Linked DNA regions of Oryctolagus cuniculus. The protein of the gene in region 1 purifies or fractionates together with the protein of each later gene. This does not show direct contact. Links are inferred from orthologs where the notes say so. Each region holds a gene or a part of one and is shown on either strand. Other genes may lie near its edges.

The links. The genes of interacting proteins can lie anywhere in the genome.
Region 2: the proteins of TAF15 (region 1) and HNRNPU purify together in Homo sapiens (affinity purification with mass spectrometry; 3 studies listed by BioGRID, with this or other methods). This does not show direct contact. The link is inferred for Oryctolagus cuniculus from reciprocal best matches to the Homo sapiens genes TAF15 and HNRNPU.

The regions. Positions count from the first base shown.
Region 1 is NC_091448.1:38,795,139-38,804,991, forward strand, and holds the start of TAF15 (TATA-binding protein-associated factor 2N), read right to left. Parts: upstream 6,519-9,853; 5' UTR 6,384-6,518; coding exon 6,377-6,383; intron 1-6,376. UniProt on the Homo sapiens protein: RNA and ssDNA-binding protein that may play specific roles during transcription initiation at distinct promoters. Binds to ssRNA containing the consensus sequence 5'-AGGUAA-3'. Can enter the preinitiation complex together with the RNA polymerase II (Pol II).
Region 2 is NC_091444.1:64,892,731-64,902,721, forward strand, and holds the start of HNRNPU (heterogeneous nuclear ribonucleoprotein U), read right to left. Parts: upstream 5,806-9,991; 5' UTR 5,542-5,805; coding exon 4,851-5,541; intron 4,001-4,850; coding exon 3,889-4,000; intron 3,802-3,888; coding exon 3,728-3,801; intron 1,937-3,727; coding exon 1,797-1,936; intron 1,361-1,796; coding exon 1,261-1,360; intron 236-1,260; coding exon 123-235; intron 1-122. UniProt on the Homo sapiens protein: DNA- and RNA-binding protein involved in several cellular processes such as nuclear chromatin organization, telomere-length regulation, transcription, mRNA alternative splicing and stability, Xist-mediated transcriptional silencing and mitotic cell progression.

The DNA of each region.
Region 1 (9,853 bases):
TACGGCGCCGGCACCCCAAGTTCTAGTCCCGGTTGTTCCTCTTCCAGTCCAGCTCTCTGCTGTGGCCCAGGAGGGCAGCGGAGGATGGCCCAGGTGCTTGGGACCCTGTACCCCCATGGGAGACCGGGAAGAAGCACTCCTGGCTTCGGATCGGCATAGCGCCAGCCGTAGCAGCTATTAGGGGAGTGAACCAACGGAAGGAAGACCTTTCTCTCTGTCTCTCTCTCACTATCTGTAACTCTACCTGTCAAATGAAAAAAAAAAAAAAAAAGATTATGAGGGAAAAGTTTAAGTGCCCAACAAAAATAATTATTTTCTAAATTTTGATTGCGTTCTCTAACGCTCATTAGTTGTATCATTTCTGTTAATCCTTGGTCTAAATAATGTTTGGTCACAGGGCCAGCGCTGTGGCGCAGTGGGTTAGAGCCCTGGCCTGCAATGCCAGCATCCCATATGGGCGCCGGTTCTAGTCCCAGCTGCTCCTCTTCCAATCCAGCTCTCTGCTATGGTCTGGGAAAGCAGTAGAAGATGGCCCAAGACCTTGGGCCCCTGCACCCACGTGGAAGACCAGGAGGAAGCTCCCAGCTCCTGGCTTCGGATCGGCACAGCTCCGGCCATTGCAACCATCTGGGGAGTGAACCAGCAGATGGAAGACCTCTCTCTCTCTGTCTCTACCTCTCTCTGTAACTCTTTCAAATAAATCTTTTAAAAAAAAAGTTTGGTCACATCCTTACTAGTTATTAATTCTATTAATTACAGAGGTATGATTCTAAAAATTTCCCATTTGACAATACACTTGTAAATTTCTTACAACTGTCCTTTTTGTTTTCTGTATTTTGAGGCACATCTGTATTTGTATTTGTTAGGCACATCAAAGTACAAACATAGCTTTGTGGTTTCCCTTAATATTACATAAAATTAACATTAAAAATGTTCAAGTTTTATTTTGACTGGTATTATAACTATAGGATCATCCGTAGGTTGCTGTTTGCCTAGGTAATTTTTCCATCTTCCAACATTTCTTGTTCATGCAATTTATGTATTATCACTTTTTTTTTTTTTTTTTTTTTGACAGGCAGAGTGGACAGTGAGAGAGAGAGAGAGAGAGACAGAGAGACAGAGAGAAAGGTCTTCCTTTGCCATTGGTTCACCCTCCAATGGCCGCCGCGGCCGGCACGCTGCAGCCGGCGCACCACACTGATCCAAAGGCAGGAGCCAGGTGTTTATCCTGGTTTCCCATGGGGTGCAGGGCCCAAGTACTTGGGCCATCCTCCACTGCACACCCTGGCCACAGCAGAGAGCTGGCCTGGAAGAGGGGCAACCGGGACAGAATCTGGCGCCCCGACCGGGACTAGAACCCGGTGTGCCGGTGCCGCAAGGCGGAGGATTAGCCTATTGAGCCGCGGCGCCGGCCAGTATTATCACTTTTGAGCAGCATATATCTAGGTCATTTTTCCCCCAAAGTGTAAATTTTGTCTTTTTAAATCTGGTATTTTACAATTCTGTTGAGTTTTTATTTATTCCTACTGTTATACTGAAACTCTCTACCATGATTTTCCTTTTAACTCCTTTCCTGCTTTCTATTATAGAGTTCCGCTTTTCTTCTGCTTTAGAATTTATATTCAGCTTCTTTTACTCAGTTATCATACATAATTTTTCTGAATATATTCAGTTTTTAACATGTATTCCTGAGAAAGTTAAAAATTATATTCAGATGCCAGCATTGTGGCACAGCAAGCTAATCCTACATCTGGATGCTCCATTTTTGATCTAGCTCCCTGCTAATGTGCCTGGGAAAGCCACCCAAGTGCTTGGGCCCCTGCCACCAGTGTGGGAGATAGGGATGCAGTTCCAAGCTCCTGGCTTAGCTTCGACCAGCCTTGGACATTTTAGTCCGTTTGGAGAGTGAACCAGCAGATGGGAAGATTTCTCTGTCCCTGTCACTCTCCTCTTCAAATAAAAAAATAAAATTTCTTTAAAAAAATTTTTTTAAATTATCATCAGGGCTGGCACTATGGCATAGCAAGTAAAGCCACTGCCTGCAGTGCTGGCATCCCATATGGGTGCTGGTTTGAGACCCGGCTGCTCCACTTCTGATCCAGCTCTCTGCTATAGCCTGGGAAAGCAGTAGAAGATGGCCCAAGTCCTTGGGCCCCTGTACCCACGTGGGAGCCCTGGAAGAAGCTCCTGGCTCCTGGCTCCTGGTTTTAGATAGGCTCAGCTCTAGCCATTTTGGGGAGTGAACTGGCGGATGTAAGACTCTCTCTGCCTCTGCCTCTTTGTAACTTTGCCTTTCAAATAAATAAATATTTAAAAAACAATTTTAAGCATTATCTTCAACACCCACTGAAATTTAAAGACTTTAATACTCCAACGCCAATCATAGTTTTTACCCATAATTTTGCTTCACTTCTTTCTGAATCTCTAATCATTATAAAATTCAATGTCTTACAGTCAGTACTGGCTTATTTACAGTGTTTCCTCACTCAACGTTGTTTTTGAACCCCATTTTCTGGATTTAATTTTATTTATTCTTTCTGCAAAGGCCTGAAAGATACCTAGCCCCGTTACAACCTGCATGCAAAATTTAAGGCTAACCACTTTTTCCTCAAACTGAGGACCATTTAATTACTTCCAACTTTTAAGAAGCCTGCTACCAATCTTAAACTGTTCCGTAATTTGTTAGGTTACTGGTATTCCATAATCTGCAGTTTCACAAAAACTTATCTAGATATGAATTTATTTTTGTCTCATGTTTGCACCTAGTGCTTCTTGATTCAAAATGTTCATCTATTTTGGAGAATTAACTATTGATTCTTCCCCAACTTTCTCCTTCTCAATCTACTATTAGATACATGACAGGACTTCTCATTCTATTTCCCATGTTTCCCAAGCTTTTACTTTCACCTCTTTATCCTTCTAAATTGGATTTTAAAGGACAGATCACATAACCTACATCTAGAAATCTATAATCATTTCTTCTGCTAGATCTGCTGTTCAACTTATCCACCTTTTCCAATTCTAGAAGTTATACTTGGTTCTAAAATTTGAGGCCTTTTTTGGTAACATCTTGGTCTTAGGCTTGTTTCCTCCTTTCAGGTTTTTCATAATTTGAAACATAGAACTTATGTGCAATCCTGTTTATCATTAACTTTGGTGAACTGTTTCCTAAAGTTTTGTGATTTCATTTACTGTGAATGCTTTTCTTTTTTTTTTTTTTTTTCTGAGAGTCCTTGTAATCTAAGCTGTAAAATTTCCTCCATAAAAGGTTTTTACCAAGAACCCCAAAGTTATCATCAGCCCAGAAACAATTTTTATGTCAACCTGTCTTAAGGCTTCTTGGAGGCTAAATACCCAAATTGTGTGAAGCACCTGTCCAAGTTACAAATTCTCAAGAGACTTTTCATTCTGCCTCCAGGCTTCCCTTTTTATCTCTTATTCTGTTAGGAAGGTTTTGTTTTTTTTTTTTTTTTGTCCATTCCTACACTGAGATGATAGTCCTTCAAACTCATAATTCAGAAACCCAGGATTTCGGCTGGCGCCGCAGCTCACTAGGCTAATCCTCCACCTTGCGGAGCCGGCACACCGGGTTCTAGTCCCGGTCGGGGCGCCGGATTCTGTCCCGCTTGCCCCTCTTCCAGGCCAGCTCTCTGCTGTGGCCAGGGAGTGCAGTGGAGGATGGCCCAGGTACTTGGGCCCTGCACCCCATGGGAGACCAGGATAAGTACCTGGCTCCTGCCATCGGATCAGCGCGGTGCGCCGGCTGCAGCGCGCTGGCCGCGGCGGCCATTGGAGGGTGAACCAATGGCAAAGGAAGACCTTTCTCTCTGTCTCTCTCTCACTGTCCACTCTGCCTGTCAAAAAATAAATAAATAAATAAAATTAAAAAAAAAATAAAAAGAAACCCAGGATTTCAGGGTCTCTGTTCCCATGACCTGGCTCAATGGGGCTCAAGATTTCATCTCCTGTCCTTACATATTACCTTGTCAAGAACATCCATGTCTCTGCATGATGAGACCTACACCCTACTCTCTAGGGCAGCTGCAAATTTAACTCCATTCCCTTACCATGCTGGCTTGTACTTCGTTTTTGCCAGTGGGAGCTTGCACTTTTTTTGCTATGTTTTTTATTGGGGGGGGGGGGTAGTCTGTAAATATGAAAATTATCCTGGTCTAACACATCACCAGAATGACAAGTATCTTTATTTTGTAATTTTTAGTATGTGCAACTGGCATTATTTCACTTGTGATTTTAATGAGATAACTCACATTTGTAAGCAGTATCTGAATGCCAGGCTCAGATTTGTAATATTTATAATTTTGATTTATTTATCAACTATTTAAGTGCTTGTATTTTACTGGGTTTGTAAGTCTGCCCTGACAGACATTCAGAGTGGTTAAGTTGATCTGATGGATTAAATTTACAAATGTAACCTGGAATGTTTAAAGGATTTAACTTATTGATGGCATTAGCTATTTAGGGGTAGTTCAATCTTTTAATTTTATTAACATAAACATTCAACAAAAAAACAAGACAAAAGTATTATTTTATACAAAGTCAAAGTAGTACTTTTACAGAAATAGTTCAGAATGTATAAATCGTATTACAAGTAGAACTTAGATTCTAGTTTTAATTGAATGTTAAGAAATAAGCATCTACTAAATAGTACTTTTCACAAGAAAGCCAATCTCAGTACTTCTTTAAAAAACTAAAATTACAAAGCAGCAATTAACTAGCTGATATCTCAGTCACATGAAAATCACTAAAGGAGTAAATCAGCTCTACTATGATACATGGAAAGCCTGAATTTTACAAACTGCAAACTCCTAAAACTACCTAGTACTACAAAAACAAGCCACTGTTTATACTAAGCCTGCTAAAATCAGAACAGGCCAAAAGTTCTTAATAAGCAATGTATACATTGAAACTTGGTCAATTTCTTCATGACGGCAGGATTTTTAATTTTCTTAAACTACTGGTAAATTACACATCCTCCTTGGGAGCCTTACCAGACTTCCTCCCAAATTATGCAGCTGATGAAAGGTGTACCAATGTCTACTTTGGAAGTTATTCGTTGTTTGAGGAAGGATTAAACAAATTGAAATCAAGAGGTAAGTTCAGTGGTTTATCCCCTCAAAAAGATCAATATTCTAGCTTTTTAATATCAACGTTAACCTAGAAGAAACGTATCATTTTCCTGTCCAATTCTTCTTGCTAACTTAGATTCCTCAGACTGTCCCTTTTCTTTGGTCACACCATTCCATCCTTCTACATGACAATTACCGGGGCTTTCCTGTTTATTTCTCAAATACTGACAGGTTGCTCCTTAGAGCGTAATAGGCAGGCTCTACTAGAAGGCATACTGTACCCCAACCATATGGCTTTGGGAAAACGTGGTTTTGAGCCACAAAAAGTGACACCTAACGCTCCTGAGGGTTCCCAGCAAGTGGATCCCTTGGGTCCCTGTGTGATCAGCTAGGTCGGCTAAATCCAGAGGACCTGCACCTTCTTGACTTTTAAATTCTGGTTTAGCAGGATCCACACTGGCTGTCCTGGAGCGACTAAGGCTCCTTTCTCTCCTCCACACAACGGGTGGCCTCTGCCCACTTAACTGCTCGTCGGAGAAGCTGCTCTCCTCGTGGGCTGGGCGTCTGACGGGGCAATGCCACCAACACCTACGGAAGCTTATCACTAAGAGACGGGGCTCACTTCCAGCTCTTTCGGGGGACCAACAACTGGAGCGGGCGGTTAGGATGGCAGAGCGGGGCGAGGAGGAAGCTGACTGACAGGCCAAGACCCCCACTGCACTCGCGGCGGCTACGGCGGAGGGAACGGCGGCGTGTGAGGCAACGTCCTTTCAAAGGGCTCCCAGGGCGTCCAGGCCCCCACCTGAGGAACGGGTGAGTCAGGAAGGCCCAGCTCCACTTCACGGGTGGGGAAACTGAGGCAACGAGGCGGCGAGATGACTGGCCCGAGGCCTCGCTGAAAGATCTGAGGCGGAGCGGACAACCAGAAGCACCGATTCTCTCAGTCTGATGCTCTCCTCGCGGCTCCCCCCGCCCCCTAGGATGGCGTAGACCGCCTCCGCCCCCCGACTCACACACACCCTCCCCCGGGAGCGCAAGTCTCCTCAGGTTCCAAGGACACGGCCAAAAGGCAGGGGACCCGAAGCGCTCCCGCCGTGATTTGCAGCCAGAGAGCGTTGGGAGCGTGCGTGCCTCCAGCCCAACATGGCGGCGGCGCGTCCGCCCCCCCACCCCAAGCCTCCCTCAGGGCCGAAGGTTTTCCCTCGGGGCCCTCCGGTGGGCGGGAAGGCTGCCCAACCCCGCCAGGCCCCTTCTCGCCGCTGCCGCTGCTCGCTGACGGAGTCACCTACCCGACATGACTAACGGCCGCGGCGCGGAGCCCCCACAGCCCGCCGAGAACAAGGAATACCACAGCCAGGCGGCGCGGCGGCCGGAGCTGTTCTGAGGGCGGCGCGGCGGGCTGAGGCCGACTGCGGGGCCTCGGCAGCCAATCAGCGGGCAGTGGGCCGTACCACCCACCAAAGAAGGAGGGGTGGTTGTGCACCAGAATGGGCCTCCGAGCCCTGAGGACCTCTCTGGTCTCCCCTCCGCGGGCGGTACCATTATTGAGAGGGAACTGAGAAGAGAAAGTACCAATGCCACCTTGAGTACGGGGGAGGAGGCTGGACGTACTAGAACCGTCCTACTCGCAGTCCTATTCCTCACCTTGCTGGTTCAGATAGAATTCGAGGTTATGAAGCGAAACAGGGGGGACCTTATAAACTCAGACTGTTTGGTTAGAAAAGGCCTTTCTTCCTCTAAGATTTCGAATGGTTTGCCCTAGTTCTCTCCGTTCTCCGACCGAGAGCTCGGGCCACCTGGGGGCGTTCGGAGTGGACGAGCTGGATCCCGGGGACAGAAAGTCGTGACGAGCCGCTGGTACCTACCAGGTCACCTCACGGCTTGTTATGACTACCTTGCCGAATGGAAAACAAGAAGGTAGCAGAAACAGAGACGTGCGTGGAAACGAAATCACACGCAAACCTGACCCTGAGAACGTGGTGGGGCGGGGGATCGCGCTCAGATTTTCGGTACCATCGTACCGGCTAACACGTAATTGTCAGGCAGCCACCTTGCATCATCTCATTTAATTCTCACAACGGACTGATGAAACATCTTCCCGACGTTGCCGAGAAGGCAGAACTCATTTACCCCGGGTCTTGGAGCTTGCCAAGGGTGGCGATGGAATTTGAAACCTGGTAATCCTACACCGCTGTGTGTAGGTTCCACCATAACGCAGTACGGCCTAGAGGGGCCTTAGCTCTATTATAGAGAAGGCAAAGGGAAAGCTCAGCCAGCCAGCAGGGACATTTGCCCGGAAGGTGTGATATCTGAGCCTATCCCTAGGTGATGAGCAGAAGTTGACTGAGTGAAGGAATGAGCAAAAAATATTGCGGGCGTTTGGGGACAGAACCAGTGGCTACAGGATCCGCCATACCACCCATCCCTTTCACAGCTCTTCAAATAAATAAACCAGTTTTCAAAAAAATTTTTATTTATTCGAAAGACAGTTACAGGCCGGCGCCGAGGCTCACTTGGCTAATCCTCCGCCTGCGGCGCTGGCACCCAGGTTCTAATCCCGGTTGGGGCACTGGGTTCTAGTCCCAGTTGCTCCTCTTCCAGTCCAGCTCTCTGCTGTGGCCCGGGATGGCCAAGGTGCTTGGGTCCCTGCACCCGCAGGGGAGACCGGGAGGAAGCACCCAGCTCCTGGCTTCGGATCGGCGCAGCGCCGGCCATGGCAACCATTAGGGGAGTAAACCAACGGAAGGAAGACCTTCTCTCTGTCTCTCTCTCACTGTCTATAACTTTACCTGTCAAATAAAAAATTTTAAAAAAAATTAAAAAAAAGAAGAGTTACAGAGAGGGAGAGAGAAAGAGAGAGGTCTTCCATCAGCTGGTTTCCTCCCCAGATGGCTTCAACAGAGCTAGGCAGAAACAGAAACGAAGGCAGGAGCCAGTAGCTTCTGAGTCTCCCACACTTGGGCTATCTTCCACTCCTTTCCCAGGCACCAGATCAGCTAGGACAGAGACACAAATGGACACCCATATAGGATGCCAGCATTGCAGATGGTGGCTTAACCTTCTACCTGCTGCCACAACACTGGTCCACTTTGTTTTATGATTTTTGTTTTTTTAAAGATTGGTTTATTTTGGGCCAGCGTTGTTGCGTAGTTGGTAAAACTACTGCCTGCGACACCAGCATCCCATATGGGCGCATTGTCCTGTCCCAGCTGCTCCACTTCCAATCCATCTCCCTGCTTATGTGCCTGGAAAAGCAGCAGAAGAGGTGCTTGGGCCTCTGCCACCCTTGTGAGAGACCCAGATGTAGTCCCAGGCTCCTGGCTCCGGCTTGGCCCACCCCTGGCTGTTGCGGCCATTTGGGGAGGAAATCAGCAGATGGAAGATTATTTCCTGTCTCTCCCTCTCTCTGTACCTCTGCCTTTCAGATAAGTAAATCTTAAAAAAAAAAAAAAAAATGGGCAAAAGGACTTTCCAAACTGCTCATAGAACAAGTAAATCAATGTCTAGAGTAAACGCTCAAAGGAAGGATGGTAGGAGATAATGCCAGAAAAGCAGGAGCAAAATGGCTAGAGTCTTATGAAGTATGTTGGAATGTGGGCCTTATCATGAGGACAGAGTCACCAGAGGATTTTTTTTTAAGTATTTATTTATTTATTTGAAAGTCAGAGTTACACACAGAGAAAAGGAAAGGCAGAAAGAGAGAGAGAAAAGGTCTTCCATCCGCTGGTTCACTCCCCAATTGGCTGCAATGGCCGGAGCTGTGCTGATCAGGAGCAAGGAGCTTCCTCCAGGTCTTCCCACATGGGTACAGGGGCCTAAGGACCCGGGCCATCCTCTGCTGCTTTCCCAGGCCATAGCAGAGAGCTGGATCAAAACTGGAGCAGCTGGGACTCACACCAGCGCCTATGTGGGATGCTGGCACTGCGGGTGGCAGCTTCACCTGCTATGCCACAGCGCCAGCCCCACCAGAGGTTTCTAAAGAAGAGTTTAGGGGCTGGCATTGTGGCATAGCAGATTGGCTTGGGATGTCTACATCCCATATCCAAGTGCCAATCGGAGTCCTTTCCAATCCAGCTTCCTATTAATGTGCTTGGGAAGCAGCAGATGGTGGCTCAACTGCTTGAGTTCCTGTCATGCACATGGGAGACCTGGATGGCTCATGGCTCCTGGCTTTAGCCTGGCGCAGCCTGAGCTGTTGGGGAGTGAACCAGCAGATGAAAAACTTCTCTTCCCCACCTCCACCCCTATCACTCTGCCTTTCAAATAAATAAATATTTTTTTAAAGGAGGAGTAAGGTCAGATTTGTACTTTCCAGTTGCAGAATGAAGAACACTTAGAAACGAGGGATGCCTGAAAGCAGGGAGACCAGTGAGGTGGCCAGTGCAAAACGTTCCACTGACAGATAATAGTGCCCTGGACTTAGGTAGTAGCTGTGGAAGTGGAGGTGAATGAAAAGGTCCCAGATACCTAAGGAGTAGACTGGACAAGAGCCCAGAGAAAGGAGCCTGGTGAATTCTGGGTTCCTGACTTATGCAAGTGGCCAGAGGGTGGTGTCATTCACTGAGATAGGAAACATGGAGGAGGAGACTGGATAGAAGTGAAGGATAAGGTCAGGATTCATGCCTTCAGGTCAGAAGAAAAGGCATGAAGTCATCTTTCCTCACTATATGAGCCCTAATTGCCTCAATTCTAGATGGAGAGAGTCATAGAACCCTCTAGACAGGTCCAAACAAGCAAGGCTAAAGGAATAAAATTCTTCCATAACT
Region 2 (9,991 bases), on another chromosome or scaffold:
AGTGAGCTACACTTTCAAAATTCATCTGCTTTGTTTCTCAAAATTTTTATTTTTCCTGATAACTAATGAAATCTTAACCTTGTTGATCACAGTGAAGGCTGAATTATGCAGCCCTGACTTACAGCAAAACAGGTGATCACATCATTTTCATCAAACTTCTCTCCATAATCTTCAGTCTCACAGTTGCATGTTTTTATTCCTTTCAGAGAATACCCATAAGAAAATTCTTCTTCACCTAAAAAAGTAATTTTCATGAAGTAAATATTTAAAACAATCCAAAGACCCGCCTGGTTTACTATTCAAAATATAGGATGTAATAGAAACTAAGCAAAAGTAGTCTTCAAAAGTTCACAGAAAATGTGTATTACCAAAAAGCTGCATGCATTTCAGGAGTTTTTGCACTGGAATAGGTAATTCCAGTATTACATGAAGTTTTCATAAGTAGCTTAAATAACCTAAGAATCCATCATTGGCATTCAGTTTTAACTACCTCTACACTAGATGTAAAAATTGATGAAGGCTAACTGGACCTATTACAAAATAAAATTTGTGGACAAACTGCATGTCTTGTATACAGGGGCCAACCCTGTGGCACAGGTTAATCCCCAGCCTGCAGTGCCAGCACTTCATATGGGCTCCGGTTCTAGTCCCGGCTGCTCCTCTTCCAATTCAGCTCTGCTACAGCCTGGAAAAGCGGTAGAAGATGGCCCAAGTGGGAGACCTTGTTAGAAGCTCCTGGCTCCTAAGCTTCAGATCAGTCCAGCTCCAGCTGTTGCTGCCATTTGGGGAGTGAACTGGTGATGTTAGACCTTTCTGTCTCTCCCTCTGTCCACAACTCTACCTCTCAAATCAAATCTTTAAAAAGGCTCCTCCTTAATGCACAGGAAAAATGTCCCAAGTTCTTGCACCCCTGTCACCCATGAGGGAGACCCAGAAGAAGCTCCTTGTTTCTGGCACTGGCATGGCCCAGCCCCAGTCATGGCGGCCATTTAGGGAGTGAGCCAGCGGATGGAAGATCTCTTCTCCCCCTCTAACTCTACCTTTCCAAAAAATAAATCAGTCTTTAGAAAAAAAAGTATGCTGCTCAAGCCATTAGTCATAACTCAAACAACCATAAAGGAACAAAAGCAAATTTAGACTCTGCCTACTGTTACTATTCTCTAAAACAGAATGAAAATAACAAGAAAAGGTTTTGAATGCCTGCAGATAGTTAATGAAATCAGACATTCATGAACTTGCAGTACTCAATGTAAACTTTACCTAGCAACATTCCACTTGTGGTTAGCGACCAGCCAATCCGAACTTCATGTATGTCTATATCTTTTGTATATAAATGCCTTACAGGTATCTTCTCTGTAACCTGAAAGTTAAGTCATTATATCATTAACTGTAAACCAAGGTAGGTAGGTTATTTATGTGCCTGGTTTATCTCACTTGGGCTATGGGTACCTAAAATTCTTCTCTAGCTATTTATACAAAGACAGGACACCCAACTCTACCCCACTCCCAGTATTTTCCAATTGATGTAAGGGCTTATAACTTAAAATTAAATACTTGGTTGATTTAGATTTTTAGAACAATATTTTTAAATTACATTCTCAATTGATGTTTTTCTCATAAAACCAACACTCTAACCAAAAGAAATTTTAACTCTTTGGTGGCCCTTTTCAAGGGCCTCATATAATGGAGTGCCCTAAATAATGTATGGGCTGGCTCTATAGGGCAAATTCTGATAAATAAACTTGCTTCACTATTACAAAATGAAGGTTCCAGAAACCTCACAACATTGCATTTACCTTCATCTCAAAACAGACTTTGCCTTTTGACACACCATAAGATGCCCTTCCTCCAGCCCAAAGAAAGGCAAAGCTCTCCATAGTAAGCGAAGAAGCACTGAGGCGATCTCTTGATATTTTAAAATGTAGATCACAATTATCTGCAATTATATTAAATACCATATTATTCTTTTGACATCCAATGGAAATCTATTTGCTATGTAGACAAAACTTGGATGTTAAATTTTTTTCATGTACTTCTTAATGCTGCAGAAAACAGTTTTTAACACCATGCTGTTTTCCCAATTTTCCGTGTAAGCCCCACTCCCACCATTCTTATCAAATTAAGTACTAAAGAGTAAACTGCCTATAAACTAAGGCTTAATGTCTTTAAGAATATAAAACAAGACATGTGACATGGATACATACCTGCTCTGCTCTTTACCTTGATTTAGAGGCACGCAGTAGAGGATAGCAGGAAATCAAAGTGAAGCATGCCAGAACCAGGTAGAATTTACCAGTGCCACAATAAAACTGAAGGGAGGCCACGGCCAAATATTTGAACATAGGAGTATGAGCTGTTGATCCCGTACTTTAACACTAGGCTCCTAAGTCCTAAATTATTTTCTAAATCTTAGGAATAAGGCAAGGCAGCCTCAACTTGGAATATACAAATCTGGTCTTCTAACACTGTCAATATTACAGCATTTTGGTCTTGTGTATTTGTGTATTAGCAACAATTAAGGATTAAGCTCTTAATCAGGTCATCCAAATCCAAAGCATCTTTAATCTAGCTACCTCTGGGTCACGTGAGGGACAGCTAAAGTCAAGGTAGAAAGCTGGCTCTTTTCCTTTTTACAGGACAGGAAACCTACAGTTCGGAACTTTTAAATTAGCTTTGCTCCTGAAATTCCTGATCACTGATAGAACTATGATTTCAAGAAGCTGTTGTTGCTCCTGTAATCAGTGCTTCAGCATCTTGGTAACTGCTAGTAACTTGAAGCAACTGATTTTGACATCAAAATTTCAAGCCACCTTTTCCATATGCATTTTTTTCCCAAAGACTCAACTCTTAACTACCTGTACAGGGTATTCAAGTAAGAAATCAGAGGTATCACCATTTATCACCTGAATCAACAATCTGTACAAGGAAGCATCCGAATCTAACTTCCGCCTTACCAGAGCAACTTGACATTTTAACTTTTCAAGTACGATTTCTACTCTTGGTTCTATTTCACACTGGAAAGACTGGTGCATCCTATTCTGATCAAACGCTAACCCAACGTAATTTAAGTAAAATCTGACAGCCACGGCCCATTTAAAGGTTTGCAATAATTCCGCATACTCGATTGCAACCCAACTGGGTAACGTAGTATTTACAGTGCTGCCATTGATACCATTCGCTGCTGAAGAAAGCTAGTGGCCCAGTGATGGCCCACTGCTGCTGCCCCAGGTCTTTGGAAGAAATCAACTTATGTTAAAGCAGCAGCTACTGAACTGGAATTGAGAACAAAAGAGCAGTTATTGAAATAGTATTACAGTCTTTTAGAATAGGGAATATACTTGAGTGCTAATGGGAAAAGTCATCAGTTAAGTATTTAACCAGCCCAAGTAGCTGACTTAACAATCCCAAAATAAAAGGAAATTACTGTAGGACACGTTAACAGTTTCCATTAGCTAACTAGTCCAAAATTGGCATCAATTTCACATTCAAGAATAAGAAGCTTTAAATTACAATTAAAATTGCCAAAGCCTGTAAAATCAATTCAACACAACTGATGGCATATTAATATTAAACTACTGCACTCTGGGTATCAATCATTATCTTTGCTTTTTAGAAAACTGTACATGTTTTCTGCACTTAGGTTAAACGTACTGCAATCTAACATTGTCAAAAAAACCCAAGGCATTTGAGGACTGCGTGGGGGAGCGGGTGAAACAGCTTCACTTACAAGTATCAAGACAAACCACTGTGTCATCGAAGTGCTCATCTTCTTCTTCAACGGGGGGCTGAGGAGATTTGGCTCTGAAAGACAGAATGGGCTCCTGATACGTCTCTGCCCACCCACGGAGAACGGGCAACAACAACGCACAATCCGTTAGCATCCTCTACCTGCTGTACTTGTTCTCTTCAATGTACTCAAAATATCCACGGCCATGATCTTCTCGAGGTCTTTTTACACCTCGCTTTTTATCTCCGCCTTTCTGCTCTGTTTTGCCGTCTCCTATAACACACGACACTCTCATAAGTGCTCAAGCCACCCAACACCCCCGCCAAAAGAAAAAAAAGCCGCTTTTATTTCAAGTTGCCTAAAAGCATCGAATTAATGAGTTTTGGGTGAATACTGAACCGCCAGGTCGAATGTGAATTCAAACTATCAGCTTGGAATTGGATTGGAGTTAGTGACGCAGCCTAAAGACGTTACTAATTCGGCCCGTCTACCGGAGGCTTCAAGAAAGCTTAAGCGCAACTGCGCGCCGGAGGCCCCGAGCCCACGTGGATCCCGACGAGCGGTCAGGAGGGGGAGGGGCGCGGGGGCGGCGGCCCCTCCCCCACCCGGGCCCGCGCAGCCCGCGGCCGCATTGTACGGATCTTCCGCCCCGCTCGGCGCGCCGGCTCCTCCCGCCGGAAGTGACGTCACGCCGAGCCCCTGCGCTCCTTGCACAATACCGCGGCGAGGAGCCGCCAAAGCGCGCCCGCCCCGGGACCTCGGGCCTCTCCCCTCCCCCCGCCCTGAGCCATGTGCCCGCACCGCGCGCACACACAGCGCGGCGGCGCCACCGCGGGCCGACGGGGCTCCTCCCCCCCTCCCGCGGCAGCTGCAGCTCCCCCGCCCCCACCCCCGCCCCGGCTCCCGAGCCACATAATGGAGGCGCTGCCACCGCCGTCACACACGCACACGCACACACACACCCCGAGCCCCAGGCCTCTCGGCTAATCTGGGATTCCCCGCACCCCTCCCTCCCCCCACCGCCGCCCACCCAGCCACCAGCGGGGGGCTCCGGCAGGCCGGGGGCCCGGTCCCCACCCCACGCGGGCCTCCCGCCGCGCGCAACGTACAACGCAGCACTCACCCGCCGCCGGAGCCCCGGGGCGACCGCCTCCTCCGCCGCCTTCCGCCTTCTTCTTACCTCCCGCCTGCTGCTGGCCCTGCCTCGCCCCGGGCGGCGCCACCGTCACCGCGAACAGCGAGGTGGGGCCGCTGCTCTTCCCCGCGGCCTCCTTGGCCGCCCCGCGCTGCTGCGGAGGCTGTTGCTGCGGCGCCGCCGGCGGTTGAGGCTGCTGCTCCCCGTGCCCGTTCTCGTCGCCCGCGCCCTCCTCCTCGTCGCCGAGCTCGTCCTCCCCTTCCTGGAAGCCCTGATCATCGCCGTTCTCGTCTTCCGAGGCGGCCTCCTCCTCCTCCATCGGGCCCGACTCGGCCGCCCCCGCGGCCCCGTTCTCCTCTCCTAGCTCCATCTGGTCGCCATCCAGGGCGGCGATCCCTTCCTCCTCCTCTTCCTCCTCCTCCTCGTCGTCGTCGCCGCCGGCCGCGGCCTCCTGCTCGAGGCCTGCTCCCGAGCGCCCGGCGGAATCCCCGCCCAGGTCTAGGCTGCCGTTCCCGGGCTCCATGGCGGGGCGGCCCCCGGCCTCCTCGTCGTCCAGCGCAGCCTGGAGTCGCTCCATGAGCTCGGCCTTGAGGCCCTTGTCGGAGAGGCGCCGCTTCTTGAGCTCCTCTTTCAGCTCAGACACCTTCAGCTTTTTTACATTAACAGGCGAGGAACTCATGATGAGGGCCCCGATTCGCGGCAGGGAGCTTGGCTCGGACTGGGCTCCGCTCACTCGGCCACTGGTAGCGGCTGCTGCGGCTGCTCCTCGGTCCGGGCGGCGGCTGCGGCTGGAGGTGGGTTCGTGCTGCAGAGAGGACCCGCCTGGTGTCGAACGGCGCCAATTCCTTTCACCGAGTTCGCGAGGGAGACGCGGAGACTCGCCTGGCGCGAGCGAGCACGCAACGTCCTCTCGCAGGGGCGGCGCCGCGCACGTAATATAGCCGCCCCGCCCCCCGCGCTGACGGGCGCGCCGCGCAGCAGGAAGGCGGGAGCGCGCTCGCGCTCGGCCCCGCCCAGCACCGTCCCTGCCTCCCCGCCCCCACGCCGAGGCCCGGGTCGGGAGCGCGGCACAGGCCGCGCAGTGCGCTTCCTATTGGGTGCCGAGCAAATGGAGGAGAAGGAAACCGCCTTTCGGTTTAACCGGCCCGCTGCAAAGTCCACTGGGTTTCTGCCGAGGGAGCTCGTTCTGCTCTTGGCCTCCCAGCCTGGGCGGCTGCTCGGCTTGAAATGCTAGCAGAGCTCAGCTTGGCGTTTTCAGCTCGAACCCCTCCACCTTTTCTTCCATCTTAGTATTGCCGTCCTGGGTGCCCCTCCTGCTATACCGTTTTAAAACGCCTCGGGATTTTATTTCCGCTCTGGCTTGTCTAACCCAGCCTGGCAGTCAGCACACGGAGAGTTGGTTCGTCCCTTCTTCCCCCCCTCTCCCCCCCCACCTCCGGCCTCGTATCTCCTTTCATTTTTCTAAGCCGGCCTGGCGAATGGCCTTTTAAATTCGGGAAGCCTTTCTTTTGTGTCTTCGGCAGCCCCCGGTGCGGGGCCTGGGAAAGCGGCTTCTCCCCTCCTCCGGTCTGCATCCGCAAAGCGCGCTCTTCGCGGCAGCCACACGCATGGCGTCAGTGGCCTTGCAGAGGCCTCTGTGGGGCCTGATGTTTGTCATTCAGGCCCGGGCGTGCGGTGAGGAGGGCGAAGCGCAGCTAGGACCTGCCACCCGTGGATTTTCTCCCTGTCCCCGCGGGGACCCAATGGTGCCCAAACCAAAGGCTCCTGAGATGGAACAGGGCGACAGTCTGGCAGACGGGCCATGAGAGACCTCGCTCTCAAAAAGAAATCCGTGATTGGATCGTGGTTGAAGTTTGAGAGTGGCAATCCGGGGTAGCATCCTAATCCCCCAGCGTCCCCACAGTGCCAGGCCAGCGATCCCCGTGGGAATGAGGAAAGAGACCTGCTGCACAAAAAGACTGCTGTGCTATTGATTTGAAATGTGGAAGTACAGAAATGCAAATCTTGTCCCGTAGGCTGAGGTGATGTAACTGATCCACAAATGTTCGTTTTTAAAAGCTGCTTTTCAACAGTTTTTAAGAAATGTGTCTTACCCTGTATTCAGGCATAAGGTGAAATACTGACATCCGTGAGATTATTTGAGTTGAGATTAATAGTGTGCAGTACTGGTAATCCTCAAATTAACAGAGGGGACTAGGACAGCCCGGAAGTAGAAGCGTCCAAATAGTGTCAGAAATTCACTTGGCCTTTGGCTATGTTGCTGAAGCTTGCCAACAAGCCACAGACGAATTTGAACTCTTCCTTGCTCTCATTCAGAATTGGGAAGAGAGCTGCAGGGGGCTTCGATGTTCTCCAACTGGGTAATTAATGAATCAGAGTTAAGTGCAATTATGTCGATGGTCCTCTAATGTGTATGTGTCCTCAGATTTAATTTATGTTTTTAAATTTTAGTCAGAAGGAAACAATTTCCATTTAACACAGAAAAAACTATGAAAACCAAGCTTATATAAGCATAATAGAGTTTTACATTGTTCTTAGATGATTATTAAACCATTTATATTAATAAATGAATTACTACTTCTGGTACACATGAGAAGTTTCCATGACTTCATCTCCCAGAGCTTTGCAGAGGGTTGAGAGTTGGATGGGTCAGATCACCCCCAGCCTGCTCGTTTTAGAGCTGTGGCATAGCTAAGTCACCTTCTGCAACAGTGGCATCCCACTGGGGTTCTGATTCAAGTCCCACTGTTCCCCTTCTGATCCAGCTCCTTGTTACCCGCCTGGGAAAGCAGAAAGATGGCCCAAGTACTTGTGCCTCTGCACCCACATGGAAGACCCAGATGGGGCTCCTGACTCTTGAATTTGGCCTGGCCCAGCCCTGGTTGTTGCAGCCACTTAGGGGACTGAACCAGCAGATGAAGATCTCTCTCCCTCTCTTTCTCTCTTTCGAATAAATAAATCAATCCTTTAAAAAAAGGAAATGAGACCCTCACTCTCATCCCAGTGCTCCTTTAGACAAAATTTGAAAGAAAAACGGTTGCTCTAAATGCCCAGAAAACCATCATCTCACCATCTGTCCTTTTTACAAACAGCGGAAGTCTCTCGGTCCATATTTCATCACTTGGTTGGGGCAGACGTGGCACAGCAGTTAAGATGCCACTTGGGATGACTGCGCCCCATATCAGAGGAGCTGGGTTCAGGTCCCAGCGCTGGCTTCCATTCCATTTTCCTGCTCATTTACACCCTGGCCCGTATCAGGTGGGAGCTCAAGTAACTGGATCCCTGCCACCCGCATGGGAGACCTGGGTTGAGATTCTAGCTCCTGGCTTTGGCCTGGCTCAGCCAGGAATGTTGTGAGCATTCAGGGAGTGAACCAGCAATGGGAATCGGTCTGTCTCTTTTTCTGTCAGTCTCTCTGCCTCTCAAACAAGTGAAATTTTAGGGGCCGGCACTGTGGCATAAAAGGTTAAGCCTCTGCCGCATCCCCTGGGTCCCTGCGCCCACAGGGGTGATCTGGCTGAAGCTCCTGGCTCCTGGCTTCAGCCTGGCCCAGCCCTGGCCATTGTGGCCATTTGGGAAGTAAACTAGTGAATGGAAGACTTCTCTCTTTCTCTCTCTCTTCTTCTCTCTATCTCTGCCTTTCAAATAAATAAATAAAAGGCCGGCGCCGTGGCTCAATAGGCTAATCCTCCACCTTGCGGCGCCGGCACACCGGGTTCTAGTCCCGGTCGGGGTGCCGGATTCTGTCCCGGTTGCCCCTCTTCCAGGCCAGCTCTCTGCTATGGCCAGGGAGTGCAGTGGAGGATGGCCCAGGTGCTTGGGCCCTGCACCCCATGGGAGACCAGGAGAAGCACCTGGCTCCTGGCTTCAGATCAGCACGGTGCGCCGGCTGCAGCGGCCATTGGAGGGTGAACCAACGGCAAAGGAAGACCTTTCTCTCTCTGTCTTTCTCTCTCACTGTCCACTCTGCCTGTCAAAAATAAAAAAAAATAAAAAATAAATAAAAAATAAAAATAATAAATAATAATAAAAATTTTAAAAGAAAGTAGAAGTGGTGATTAATTGTAGTAATTTTTTTTTTTTGCTTCTTATAGTTTTAATGCTTTTGTGATAGTAACAAAAGGGGCCAGTCATCTCCTCTAAATCCCTGAGGGACCTATAAGGAACTTTAAACCCCCCCCCCCTTTTTTTTTTTTTTATTTTTTTTTTTTTTGACAGGCAGAGTGGACAGTGAGAGAGAGAGAGACAGAGAGAAAGGTCTTCCTTTGCCGTTGGTTCACCCTCCAATGGCCGCCGCGGCCGGCGCGCTGCGGCCGGCGCACCGCGCTGATCCGATGGCAGGAGCCAGGAGCCAGGTGCTTTTCCTGGTCTCCCATGGGGTGCAGGGCCCAAGCACCTGGGCCATCCTCCACTGCACTCCCGGGCCACAGCAGAGGGCTGGCCTGGAAGAGGGGCAACTGGGACAGAATCCAGCGCCCCGACCGGGACTAGAACCCGGTGTGCCGGCGCCGCCAGGCGGAGGATTAGCCTAGTGAGCCACGGCGCCGGCCAAACCCCCCCTTTTTTTAAGATTAATTTCATTACAGAGAAAGAGAGATCTTCCTTCTGCTGGTTCACTCCCCAAGTGGCCTCAATGGCCAGGACTGGGCCAGGCCAAAGCCAGGAGCCAAGAGCTTCTTCTGGGTCTCTGGGTGCGGGGGCCCAAGCACTTGGGCCATCCCCAGCTGCTTTCCCAGGCACATTAGCAGGGAGCTGGATGGGATGTGGAGCAGCTGGGACTCGATCGGTGCCCATATGGGATGCCGGCACCTCAATTCCATTCTTTGGAAATCTTAGAGATTACAAGAATGTAGAGTATGAGAGGGGACAAATTAACTCCCAGTAACGTGAAATATTTATCAAATTACCCATGGATAATAAACGTGAGAGGTGATAACAAAGTTACCATGTCCAGAATATGCCCCAAAAGAACAAACATAAATTCTGTACCGTGCCACTCAATGCGCTCGGCTGATACTGTTCCAGTACCTTCTCCAGCACAGGTCCTGGCCTCCCAGGGATACTGCTGTGAGCCATGGGACCATGCCTTTACTCTCCCTGGGAGATTTTCCCAGTTAATGAAGTAGAGA